3 linked regions of the Canis lupus familiaris genome follow. The protein of the gene in region 3 binds, or shares a complex with, the protein of the main gene of each other region. Links are inferred from orthologs where the notes say so. Each region holds a gene or a part of one and is shown on either strand. Other genes may lie near its edges.

What was found.
Region 1: PRPF6 (region 3) and PRPF3 share a complex: the UniProt entries of both Homo sapiens proteins name them as parts of the U4/U6-U5 tri-snRNP complex. The link is inferred for Canis lupus familiaris from reciprocal best matches to the Homo sapiens genes PRPF6 and PRPF3.
Region 2: PRPF6 (region 3) and USP39 share a complex: the UniProt entries of both Homo sapiens proteins name them as parts of the U4/U6-U5 tri-snRNP complex. The link is inferred for Canis lupus familiaris from reciprocal best matches to the Homo sapiens genes PRPF6 and USP39.

Annotation. Positions count from the first base shown.
Region 1 is NC_049238.1:60,223,033-60,226,682, forward strand, and holds part of PRPF3 (U4/U6 small nuclear ribonucleoprotein Prp3), read left to right. Parts: intron 1-444; coding exon 445-611; intron 612-1,369; coding exon 1,370-1,449; intron 1,450-3,650. UniProt on the Homo sapiens protein: Plays a role in pre-mRNA splicing as component of the U4/U6-U5 tri-snRNP complex that is involved in spliceosome assembly, and as component of the precatalytic spliceosome (spliceosome B complex).
Region 2 is NC_049238.1:39,811,774-39,815,423, forward strand, and holds part of USP39 (U4/U6.U5 tri-snRNP-associated protein 2), read right to left. Parts: intron 1,460-3,650; coding exon 1,365-1,459; intron 202-1,364; coding exon 65-201; intron 1-64.
Region 3 is NC_049245.1:48,320,404-48,324,053, forward strand, and holds part of PRPF6 (pre-mRNA-processing factor 6), read left to right. Parts: coding exon 1-99; intron 100-1,752; coding exon 1,753-1,891; intron 1,892-3,363; coding exon 3,364-3,483; intron 3,484-3,650. UniProt on the Homo sapiens protein: Involved in pre-mRNA splicing as component of the U4/U6-U5 tri-snRNP complex, one of the building blocks of the spliceosome.

The sequences.
Region 1 (3,650 bases), on a different chromosome or scaffold from region 3:
CTCATTGTGTCGCTCATGAATAAATAAATAAAATCTTAAAAAAAAAATAGTGGAAGGAAATAATTCAAAATGCTCTGAGTGACTGAGGAAAGCTAGCCTGTCTTAACATTTACTGCAGATAAATAACTCCACACGTGAAGAGTTAAACTGACTATATATTCAGTGAATTTTGCTTCTTGTTTTTATCTTCTTAGAATGGGGTTTTCATAAAATGCCAATTTTTGTATTTTGCTACAGGTGAAAGGTGGTGATGAGGGTAGTTGCATGTAAATCAACTAAGGATAAAATAAAGTAGAATGGCTCTTCAGAGTTTTCAGAAATTATGAATTCTTTGCATTAGACATAAACAGTTCAACGAGGGTGCTTTAAAATTTGGGATTCTTTCATGTCCTTGTTTTCTGTGACTCTGGTTTATCTTCGCATCTTGGTTTATCTTGTCTTTAGGCTCAACTGGAGAAGCTGCAGGCAGAGATCTCACAGGCAGCTCGAAAAACAGGCATCCATACTTCAACTAGGCTGGCCCTCATTGCTCCTAAAAAAGAGCTAAAGGAAGGAGATATCCCTGAAATTGAGTGGTGGGACTCTTATATCATCCCCAATGGCTTTGACCTGTGAGTTTGTTAGTTAATATTTTTTAATAAGGCTAGAATTTTATTGGGAGAGATGATACTCATGCATTAAGTAAAATCTTAAAATCCTGAGGAAATAGGTAACCATACACAGGCTTATGTATTGGTGAAGAATATGTTGTATAGGTTTCTTTAGTTTTGGGGGTTAACAGAGGAAGGAATAGGCACAAATCTAAAAGGGAAAGGATGTAAATTTTGTACTTGGTTTTGTTATACATAATTATTTGTTTTCTTAATGATTTTTTTTTTTTTTTTTTTTTGCTACTTATAATAGATTTTTACATTTCTTAAAGATCTGTTCCTAGAACAAGAGGAAGGATAATTGATTCAGGAGAGAATGGTTAAGAAACATTTGGAGAGCTTTAATTATATCTGTTCTATAATTCTGATACATGGCTTTAAGAGACCGTGTCTCAGCCTTTCTCCTTTCCCTTCTTTTGTCAATCACTGTCCCAGGGAGTTCTTGTTATTTGTTAGAGAATTTTACATCCATCAGGGATGTTAGGGTAGGAAAAAGGTTGAGAATGACTAGTGTGGAGAGTATGTCCAACCTTAGTGGGACCCAGTTTTCTCATCTTAAAAATTATGTGTAATATAATTACATGTTGTAGATATGCAAACACTAAAAACTACTAGAATGCATTGTGAAGAGTGCATTTTTTCATTGTGTTTCTGAGACTCCCTCTCTTGGAATTGTCTCTACCCACATATCTTGTTTTCCCTTTTTCCTCCAATTTTAGTACAGAGGAAAATCCCAAGAGAGAAGATTATTTTGGAATCACAAATCTTGTTGAACATCCAGCCCAACTCAACCCTCCAGGTAATGTGTAGATTACTCAACTAAGGTTCTAGTTAAATAGAACTTCATGTGATAATGGACATGTTCTCTACCTGTGCTGTCCATATAGTAGCCACTATCTACTAGTGACTTGAGCTCTTGAAAATTGGGTTGCGCTAATAAAACTGAAAGACTGAATTTTAAATTGTATTCAATTTTAATTAATTTCAATTTAAATAGTGTATGTATCATGATCTTAGGGTTGTGGGATTGAGCTCTGCTAGGTATGGAGCCTGCTTAAGATTCTTCTCTCTCCCTCTGTCTGATGTGTTTTCTCTCTCTCTCTCCTGTCTCTAAAGTAAAGAAATCTTTAAAAATAGATAGAATATGTGGCTATTGACTACAATATTGGACAGTGTAGCTCTAGAGCACTGAGGCTTAATCTAAAGATAGTTTCACTGATATATATTACAAGTTAGGTTTTAAAAAACATTCTTGGGGTGGCTGAGTGGCTCAGTCAGTTAACCATCTGACTCTTGATCTCATTTCAGGTCTTCATCTCAGGGTTATGGGTTTATTTATTTATTTTTTATGTTTTATTTTTTTTTAAGATTTAATTTATTTATTCATAGACAGAGAGAGGCAGAAACACAGGCAGAGGGAGAAGCAGGTCCCATGCAGGGAGCCCGATGTGGGACTCGATCCCGGGTCTCCAGGATCACACCCCAGGCCGCAGGTGGCGCCAAACCGCTGTGCCACCAGGGCTGCCCTTATTTTTTATTTTTAAAGATTTGTTTATTTGTTTATTTATAAGAGACACAGAGAGAGAGAGAGAGAGAGAGAGAGGCAGAGACACTGGCAGAGGGAGAAGCAGGTTCCATGCAGGGAGCCCGATGTGGGACTCGATCCCAGGTCTCCAGGATCACACCCTGGGCTGAAGGTGGCGCTAAACCGCTGAGCCACCCCGGGCTGCCCAGGGTCATGGGTTTAAGCACCACATTGGGATCCACACTGGGCATGGAACCTATTTTAAGAAAAATAAAAAACATTCTTATCTCTGACTCCCAACTCCAGTCTTGTATACTTTTACTAAATACCTGCTCTTTTTCAGTCATCTTTGTCTTTAGCCTTTCTCTCTATCATTTTTTTTAGCAAAAACCTATTGGCTCACTCAAAAGAGAAAGGTTTTAGTTGTGGCTGTGTTTTTAACTAGCTGAATCCCTTGGGTAAATCACTTAGCACACAGAACTTTCTCATAAGTAGAGATAATATTAACTGTTATACCTTCTTCAAGAGTTATGTAGGTCATAAAAGATTTTTACACTTTGATCAGATTTGGGATGAATAGAAGAGATAATATTTCAATTAGTAAATTTGGAAAAATAGATTAAGACCTTGAGGTGTGGGATCCCTGGGTGGCGCAGCGGTTTAACGCCTGCCTTTGGCCCAGGGCGCGATCCTGGAGACCCGGGATCGAATCCCATGTCGGGCTCCCGGTGCATGGAGCCTGCTGCTCCCTCTGCCTGTGTCTCTGCCTCTCTCTCTCTGTGACTATCAGAAATAAATAAAAATTTAAAAAAATACTAAAAAAAAAAAAAAGACCTTGAGGTGTTACAATGTATGATAATCATTCAATATTAGTTAATCAGAGTATACTTAGTTGTCATCATTGTGAATTATTAGAAGAACATGGGGGATTTTGTTTGTTTTAAAAAGTGAGTGGTGCCTGGGCAACTCAGTTGAGTGTCTAATTCTTGATTTCACCTCAGGTCATGATCTCAGAATCATGAGATTGAGGGGAGCCCTACAGGCTCAATGGGGAGTCTGCTTGAGATTCTCTCCCTCTACCCCTCCCCCTACTAGCATGTGTGCAGGATCTTTCTCTATAAAATAAATTAACAATTTTTTTTAAGATTTTATTTATTTATTCATGTGAGACACAGAAAGAGGCAGAGACACAGGCAGAGAGAGAAGCAGGCTCCACACGGGGAGCCCGATGTGGGACTCGATCCCAGGACTCGAGGATCACGCTCTGAGCTGAAGGCAGAAGCTTAACCACTGAGCCACTGAGCCACATCCCTAAATAAACAAATCTTTAAAAAATATTACTAAAAGATTGAGAACACACCTGGCTGCCTCAAATCAAAAGAGCATGAGACTCTTGATCTCAGGGTTGCGAGTTCAAGCCCCATTTTGAGTGTAGAGATTACTTAAATAAACTTTTAAAAAATAATAATAACAAA
Region 2 (3,650 bases), on a different chromosome or scaffold from region 3:
CCCCAGGAGCCCTGGGATGGCTCCCAAGAGAACTAGTTCCAAATCAACCCTCATGGACACATACTGTGATATCCTCCAGGGAAGAATCGATGATCTCATAGTTGTCTGGAAGGCAGTAAAACTTGAGAGTGTGGAGGTTGAGGAAGACATGATGGCTAAACTGGACACTGTGAATATAGGCATGAGACTTCAAACCTCGGCCTGTAAGGAAGGATGAAAGGCTGTAAGAGTAGGACAGATGCCAGAGAGACACAAATCAGATTTGATTTTCCTTTCATAACTTTGTACTGGAACACACTAATACCAGCAAAAACTAAGTACTATACCAATTGGTCAGTGAATCTCTTACATGAACTTGTCCCATCACAAAAAAGAGGAAAAAAGAATAGCACATTAGTACTTTATTCCCTGGATGGCATAAACCATTGGTTAGGGAAACTAATTTCATACACATAAATGTGAAATGTGTGTGTGCATGCAGTTGTGTATGAGCTAGTTCCACTTTATCTAAAAGTAAGACTACCTACGCATAGATTATATATAATACATGCACAGACATACATAGATATGCATATATACATGTACAACTACAAATATCCATCATCATTCAGTCCTGCATTTCCAAACACCCACATTCAGGACAATCCTGTACCTATGTAACTTTGTTCAGAATGCCACTCTTTTCTAGAGTCTCTCTACCTTAACCCATTCAATCTTCTATGTCCTACCAGTTCAAGTCCCACATTGACCTCCTCCATGAATTAAACACAAATGCTCCAGCTAATATTGATCTCTACATATTTTAACTCCCAGAGTCCTTATCCATACTCACTGCCACACAGTCCAGCAGTAATCCTTATGATCTTATAGTTTGCTTATTGTTTTATGTGTTAACCTTGACTATGAGCTCTTTATAAGAGCAAGGAATGTAGTTTATGTTTCTTTTGAATCCTCCAGCATACTGTACATAGCATGTGCTTGGTCTGAATGAATTGACTAGTTCCAGAAAAGAATAGGATGAAAAAGCCCTCAGAGCAAAAGGATTTAAAAAAAATAATAAAAAATAAAAAATAAGACATGAGTACAGAAAACATGAGAGATTCAAAAACCCACAGCCTTTAAGACCTCCTACAAAGCCTCAACTAGTTTTTCTTCCCTTTCATACATACACAGGTTCTGACCGAAGAACCTCCTATTGATTTCCTAGGATTATCCCAATTGCCTGGGAATAAAGATAGATATTCTCAGATGTGACTCCTGGTAGCAGCTTACCTTCTTTAAAAGAAAGTAAAAAACCTCTCTGGAGCAGACCTGTAGCTAGCACTGAAAACTTAGAAAGTTTATAATATACAACATTTACTTACCCTGAAAGTACTTGCCACACACCAGACAGGCATATGCATTGATATGTGAGAGGGAGATGGAACATAGTTTCTCAAAGTCAAAGTCCAGCACACTCCTAAAAGAGCCAAACAAAAGAAGAAAAAAAGAAAAAAAAAAAAACAATTAATAGGGAGAGATGTCTAGGAAAGCCCCCAAGTGAAGCAGCATTGGCTCCACATTCCACAACATCACATAGCATCCTTCAGAGATAGTTCAACGACCATATGTAAACTGTGAGGAACATTATTCCTCCCCTAGACATTTAATATAGCACCCCTACACACCAATTCCCAAAGCAATGTCAAGGTATCTCTACCAGACATACAATGCCAATGACCCTCTTTCTTTTTCAAATTTACAACCAGTAGAAAACCTTCTATTGCAGTTACTTTCTCTGGAGGAAAAGCTAAAAAGTAGGACTAAAGCAACAGGGCCCCAACAACATTCCAAATTAAAAGACTAGGGATGGGGCAGTCCCACTTGCGCAGTGGCTTAGCACCGCCTGCAGCCTGAGGTGTGATCCTGGAGACCCGGGATGGAGTCCCATGTTGAGCTCCCTGCATGGAGCCTGCTTCTCCCTCTGCCTGTGTCTCTGCCTCTCTTTCTGTCTCTCTCATGAATAAATAAAATCTTTTTAAAAAGTAAATAAATACTAAATACATACATACATACATACATAAATAAAAGACTAGGGATGGGGGGCACCTGGTTGGCTCTGTCAGTTAAATGTCCCAACTCTTGATTTCACTCAGGTCATAATTCAGGGTTGTGAGATCTAACCCCACATAGGCTCTGTGCTGGGTGTGGAACCTGTTCAAGATTCTCTCCCTCTTCCTCTGCCCACCCCCTTCTCTAGGGAAAAAAAAAAGAGAGAGAGGCAGTGAAAAGACATCAAGAGTGAACAAATCCTTTTATAAAAGAAAAATCGATTTTTGTCCATAAAAATAAATGGGAAGCCTGAATATTAGAATACCTACAAATAGATGTACTTATTTAACTGCAAAGTAATGTTATATGAGTACAGGGCAGGTTAAGGGACAAAAAACATTTTTTTGGGGGGGGGGGGGGGACAGAAAACTTTTACTTCCATTAAATCCACAGGTGACAAAGAAATTTCTCCTCAAACATTAACTCTAATTAATTGGTAATGGTCCCAGTAAAGCGGCACTGTCCATTAAAGGAGGCAATAGCCACAAGTTAATATTTACATTTAAATTTAAAATAATTAGGGACACCTGGGTGGCTTAGCGGTTGAGCATCTGCCTTTGGCTTAGGGCGTGATCCCCGATACGGAATTGAGTCCTATATTGGGCTCCTTGCAGGAAGCCTGCTTCTCCCTCTGCCTATGTCTCTGCCCTTCTCTCTGTGTCTCTCTCACGAAAAAATAAATTTAAAATCTTTAAAAAAATAAATAGGGGACCCCTGGGTGGCTCAGCGGTTTGGTGCCTGCCTTTGGCCCAGGGCGCAATCCTGGAGTCCCAGGATCAAGTCCCGCGTCGGGCTCCCGGCATAGAGCCTGCTTCTCCCTCTGCCTGTGTTTCTGCCTCTGTCTATCATAAATAAATAAATAAATATTTTTTAAATAAATAAATAAATTTAAAATAATTAGAATTTGAAACTCGGTTCCTCAAGTCATGTTTCAAGTCCTCTCTAGCCATAAATGGCTTGCACCTGCCACAATAAATAGCCCTTATAGTCATTTCACTACGGAGAGAAGTTCTTATCTAATCTATATATTAAACAGTACTATCTTAAGGCATGAATTTAAAAACATCTTAAGATGCCATCTGGGATCAGAGAAATGAAACAAGGATAAAGTAACTACTTCTGCTTTAGGACATATTTTTATCTGTTTTCTCTACTAAATTCCAGCCATCTAAAGTAGTACTTAGCATGTAGTAAGTACTCAAAAAAATACTTAAATTTGCCACTGTCATTTTAAGGACACCATATATATTCCATCAAACAGATTCAAAATAAACTAAAAGCTTTTTATGTACATGCACCTCCTAAAAAAAGAAAATGCCCTCTGACACTTTATATTAAAAGGTAAGGATTGGGGACACCTGGGTGGCTCCGTAGTTGAGCATCTGCCTTCGGCTCAGGGCGTGATCCCAAGGTCCTGGGATGGAGTCCCACATCGGGTCGCCCACAGGGGGCCTGCTTCTCTATGTCTCTGCCTCTCTCTGTGTGTCTCTCATGAATAAATAAATAAAATCTTTTTAAATAAATAAATAAAAGGTAACGATTAATAAACATGGCAGGAG
Region 3 (3,650 bases):
GTGTGCTCGAGCTATCTATGCCTACGCCCTGCAAGTGTTCCCCAGCAAGAAGAGCGTGTGGCTGCGAGCTGCGTACTTCGAGAAGAACCACGGCACCAGGTATGTGCTTGGTCCCCAGGTGCGGGCGCTCTCCACCCCCGTGTGCTCGTTGATCCTCTGACACCAGGTTGGGTAGAGCTGAATATAAACCTCATGTGCCCACAGGTGGGTGAGGGCCTGAACTGGGATCCAGTCGTCTGTGACGAGGGGCAGAGGCTTCTCCGACACTTGAGGCTGTGAGCTCTGTATGGCTCCTTCTGTGATAGGGCCAGCAGTGCTTCAGAGTTGAGACTGAGACGCAGTGTCTCTGCAGAAGTAGAAGTGCCTACAGCTGAGCTGGCGGACGCCTGGTGGCCGATGGGGTGCCTGGGGCGAAGCAGGGGCCTGCAGCCCTGTGTCTTGCCAGCGGTGGCTTTAGCAGTGTGGGCGGTGTGGCGTCTGGGCCCAGGCAGGCATGGTTTTCATTTAAGCTGTGCTGACTTTGGGTTTGGGCTAGTTTTGTGCTCTGAGGAGGTCCTTGACAGTTTTCTCTAATTGTATTCTTTAATTGAAAAAATCTTTTGGATCTGCCTTATTGGCTGTAACTGCTGATTAAATTAGGTGTTGCAATTTCTGGTGTTCAGGGGGTGTCTCTCCGGGGCAGCGTCTCTCATGTTGCTGTGCGTGCTCTCTGCCCAGGCCCTCTGCTGCTCTTCCCTGTGCTGGGTGGGGTGTGGGGGACAGGGCTTCTGCTAGGAGCACCGGGGCCCTAGTTCTTTCCTTGCCCGGCATTGTCGAATCTCAGTCTGGTCAGGGTGTCTGTCCACGTGCGTTGCTCAGAGCTCCTGTCTCATCCCCACTCCCACCATCTCATTTGGGGTTTCGGAATTAACTCATTTGGGGGTGCTTTGAGAGGACTGTGCTGGGCACCCTGTACAAGTTCACCTGTGACAGTCCGTGTCTGGAGCAGGGCCTCCCCTGCCAGGTGTGGTTTGTGGATGTGCCTCGCTGCCACTGCTGCCCTTGGTCCCTGGGCTCGGGGCAGTTCCCCTCCCTGTCTCTGGCACCCTTCCCATCCGGCTGACTCATGGAATGGAATGGTGAGAGGAGGTGGGGCACTCGGGATCTGGGGTCCTGGTTCTGGTGTTGCCTGGGAAGCAGGATGTGCTCTCTCTCGGGCTTCATACAGAGTGAGTTCTTCGTCTTGCTGCCGAGGCCCAGAGAGGTCGTTTGTGTCAGGTGGTGCCGCAGAGCGACAGTGGCCACGGGAGGCGTGGGGGCCTCACACCCAGCACCCACACTGGCGGTACTCTTGCTCCGTAGTGACCAAAGTAGCTTTTTTCCAGTAAGCCTTTTTCTTTGGATACCAAAGAATAGATTCTAGGTCGTAATCTTTATCGGCGGATCTGTGGTTACAGATGAAAAGAGCTCTCCTGTCACCCAGACCGTGAAGTTATCATTCCGCTCAGGACACAAAGCCATAAAAGGGCCCCTGAGAAGTCCCTCCATTGGGCTTAGCCACGTAACAATGCCTTGCTTTGTAGCACCCTCTTTGGTAGTTGATTTTAGAACCTTTATGAAGAGAAAAGATTTCCCCACACTCTCCCCATTGTAAAATCTGGTAAATCATTGATAGCGCCGAACTTTGGAGCAGTAACTGTCTTTTCAGCACCCACGCTGAGGCTGTGAGCACCCTGTGTGCTCCGGTGGTGACCGTAGCCCCCTCTCTTCCAGGGAGTCCCTGGAAGCGCTCCTGCAGAGGGCTGTGGCCCATTGCCCCAAAGCGGAGGTGCTGTGGCTTATGGGCGCCAAGTCCAAGTGGCTGGCAGGGGATGTGCCTGCAGCAAGGAGCATCCTGGCTCTGGCCTTCCAGGTGGGTTGAGGGGTCATCTGGGCTGCAGGGGGCGTGTGCACTGGAACCCAACCTCCGTGTCTGTTGAGGACTGAGGGCTTCAGGGTGCGTGTGCCCTCAAGCCCTCCCCCTGCTCACTGACGGGAGCCGACCCAAGGGAGGAGGTGTGTGTGGTCAGGATGCACCAAACTTAGGGTGCTCTGCAGGCAGTCGGGGTCCTGAGAGGGCCCACGGGCAGGACAGTGGCCAGGAAGTGGACCTACCCCTTGGTCGTGGCCCCTTGGTATAACAATAGCCCAGATTTTCCAGAACCCAGAGCACAGGGCCAGCAGGTGACCTTCCCCAGCTGCATGGAGCAGTTGCCAGAGACCACCGTTTCCCCACATAAGAGCACAGTGACAGCCTCTTTCCTATGAGAAAATTCAGTTGTCCAGTCCCTGCGGGGCCACCTGGAGCCACTGGGCATCTGGCTCCATTCAGATGGAGGCGTTCCATTCAGACAGCTGCGCGTAGCCAGGCTCGTTACGGCTGATGTCGTGAGCGGGGCGGTGTGGGTGCTAGGAGCTTGCAGTAGAGTCAGCGTGCGGTGCTCCATCAGTTTCAGGAAGGGTACGGCCGTAGCGATTCAACACTTCCATGTGTCATTCGGCGCTCACAGCATATGTTTTTATGAAGTGTTGAGTGCAGCGCAACTGTCAGTGTGTTGTTGCAGCCCTGACTAGCGTGACAAGGTTGGCCCTTGAGTAAAGGCTGTGAGAGGGGGTTGGCCTATACCTGGCCTTTTGCTTTCTGCTGTCTGCTGGAGGACAGCCACGTGTTGAGGACACTGCTCCCGTCTGAGTCACAGATTCTCCTGCCATCTCCCTGGACACTGCAGCTTGTCCCCAACACCACCCTTCAGGTGCCTGTCGCTCTGGGGCTGCTCATCAGGTCTGTGATGCGGCCAGGCAAGTGTGCCAGCGGGCAGCTGTGCTTTCAGGAGGCTGTGACGGTACTACCCCTGTGTCTGCTGGATTCTGGGTTGTAGGTGGCCCAGTGCTAGCCCGTGGAAGCCCTCCGCACTGTCAGCAATGCCCTGGGCATCCTTCTTTCCTACTCCCATGGACGCACTGAGATGGCCAGTTCCTTGTCAGCAGGCGTGAGAGAGGGTTGGGTGTGGCCAATCCATACAGGTAGGACGTGAGTGAGCTGTTTCAGCTTTGAGAGGCCACGAGGGCTTAAGGTGGGCCACGGAGAAGGTGGCTCTGCCACTGCCGGTGTTGTTGCCTGGGTGCCCACAAAATGAGCAGGCTTGTTTTCAGGTAGGTCAGCATTCTTGGGCTGGACCCAGCTTTGTTGTCCGTTAGCCCTGGACGTGCTTATTAGATTAGACTGTCCTGCAGTAGAGTGAGGCCCCGGCCCCACACCCAGGCTGGCTGCTTTTGATTAAGTGTAACCTAGCGCAGGCCACTGTGCTCTGATCCCACCCGGCCACGGCTGCACTCTCCCTCCAGGCCAACCCTAACAGTGAGGAGATCTGGCTGGCTGCTGTGAAGCTGGAGTCCGAGAACAACGAGTATGAGCGAGCCCGCAGGCTGCTGGCCAAGGCGCGGAGCAGTGCGCCCACTGCCCGGGTGAGCAGGCTGCCCTGGGGCCTATGGGGTCCGGGAAGCGTGAGGTGCCACTAAGGCCCCAGTACTCTAGGGCTGTTGGTTCATCCTTGGCTTTGAGATGTGTTTCTGCATTTAGACCCCCTGCTTTCTGCCAAAGGATGTGAAACACCCTACAGAAGTTCCTGTGT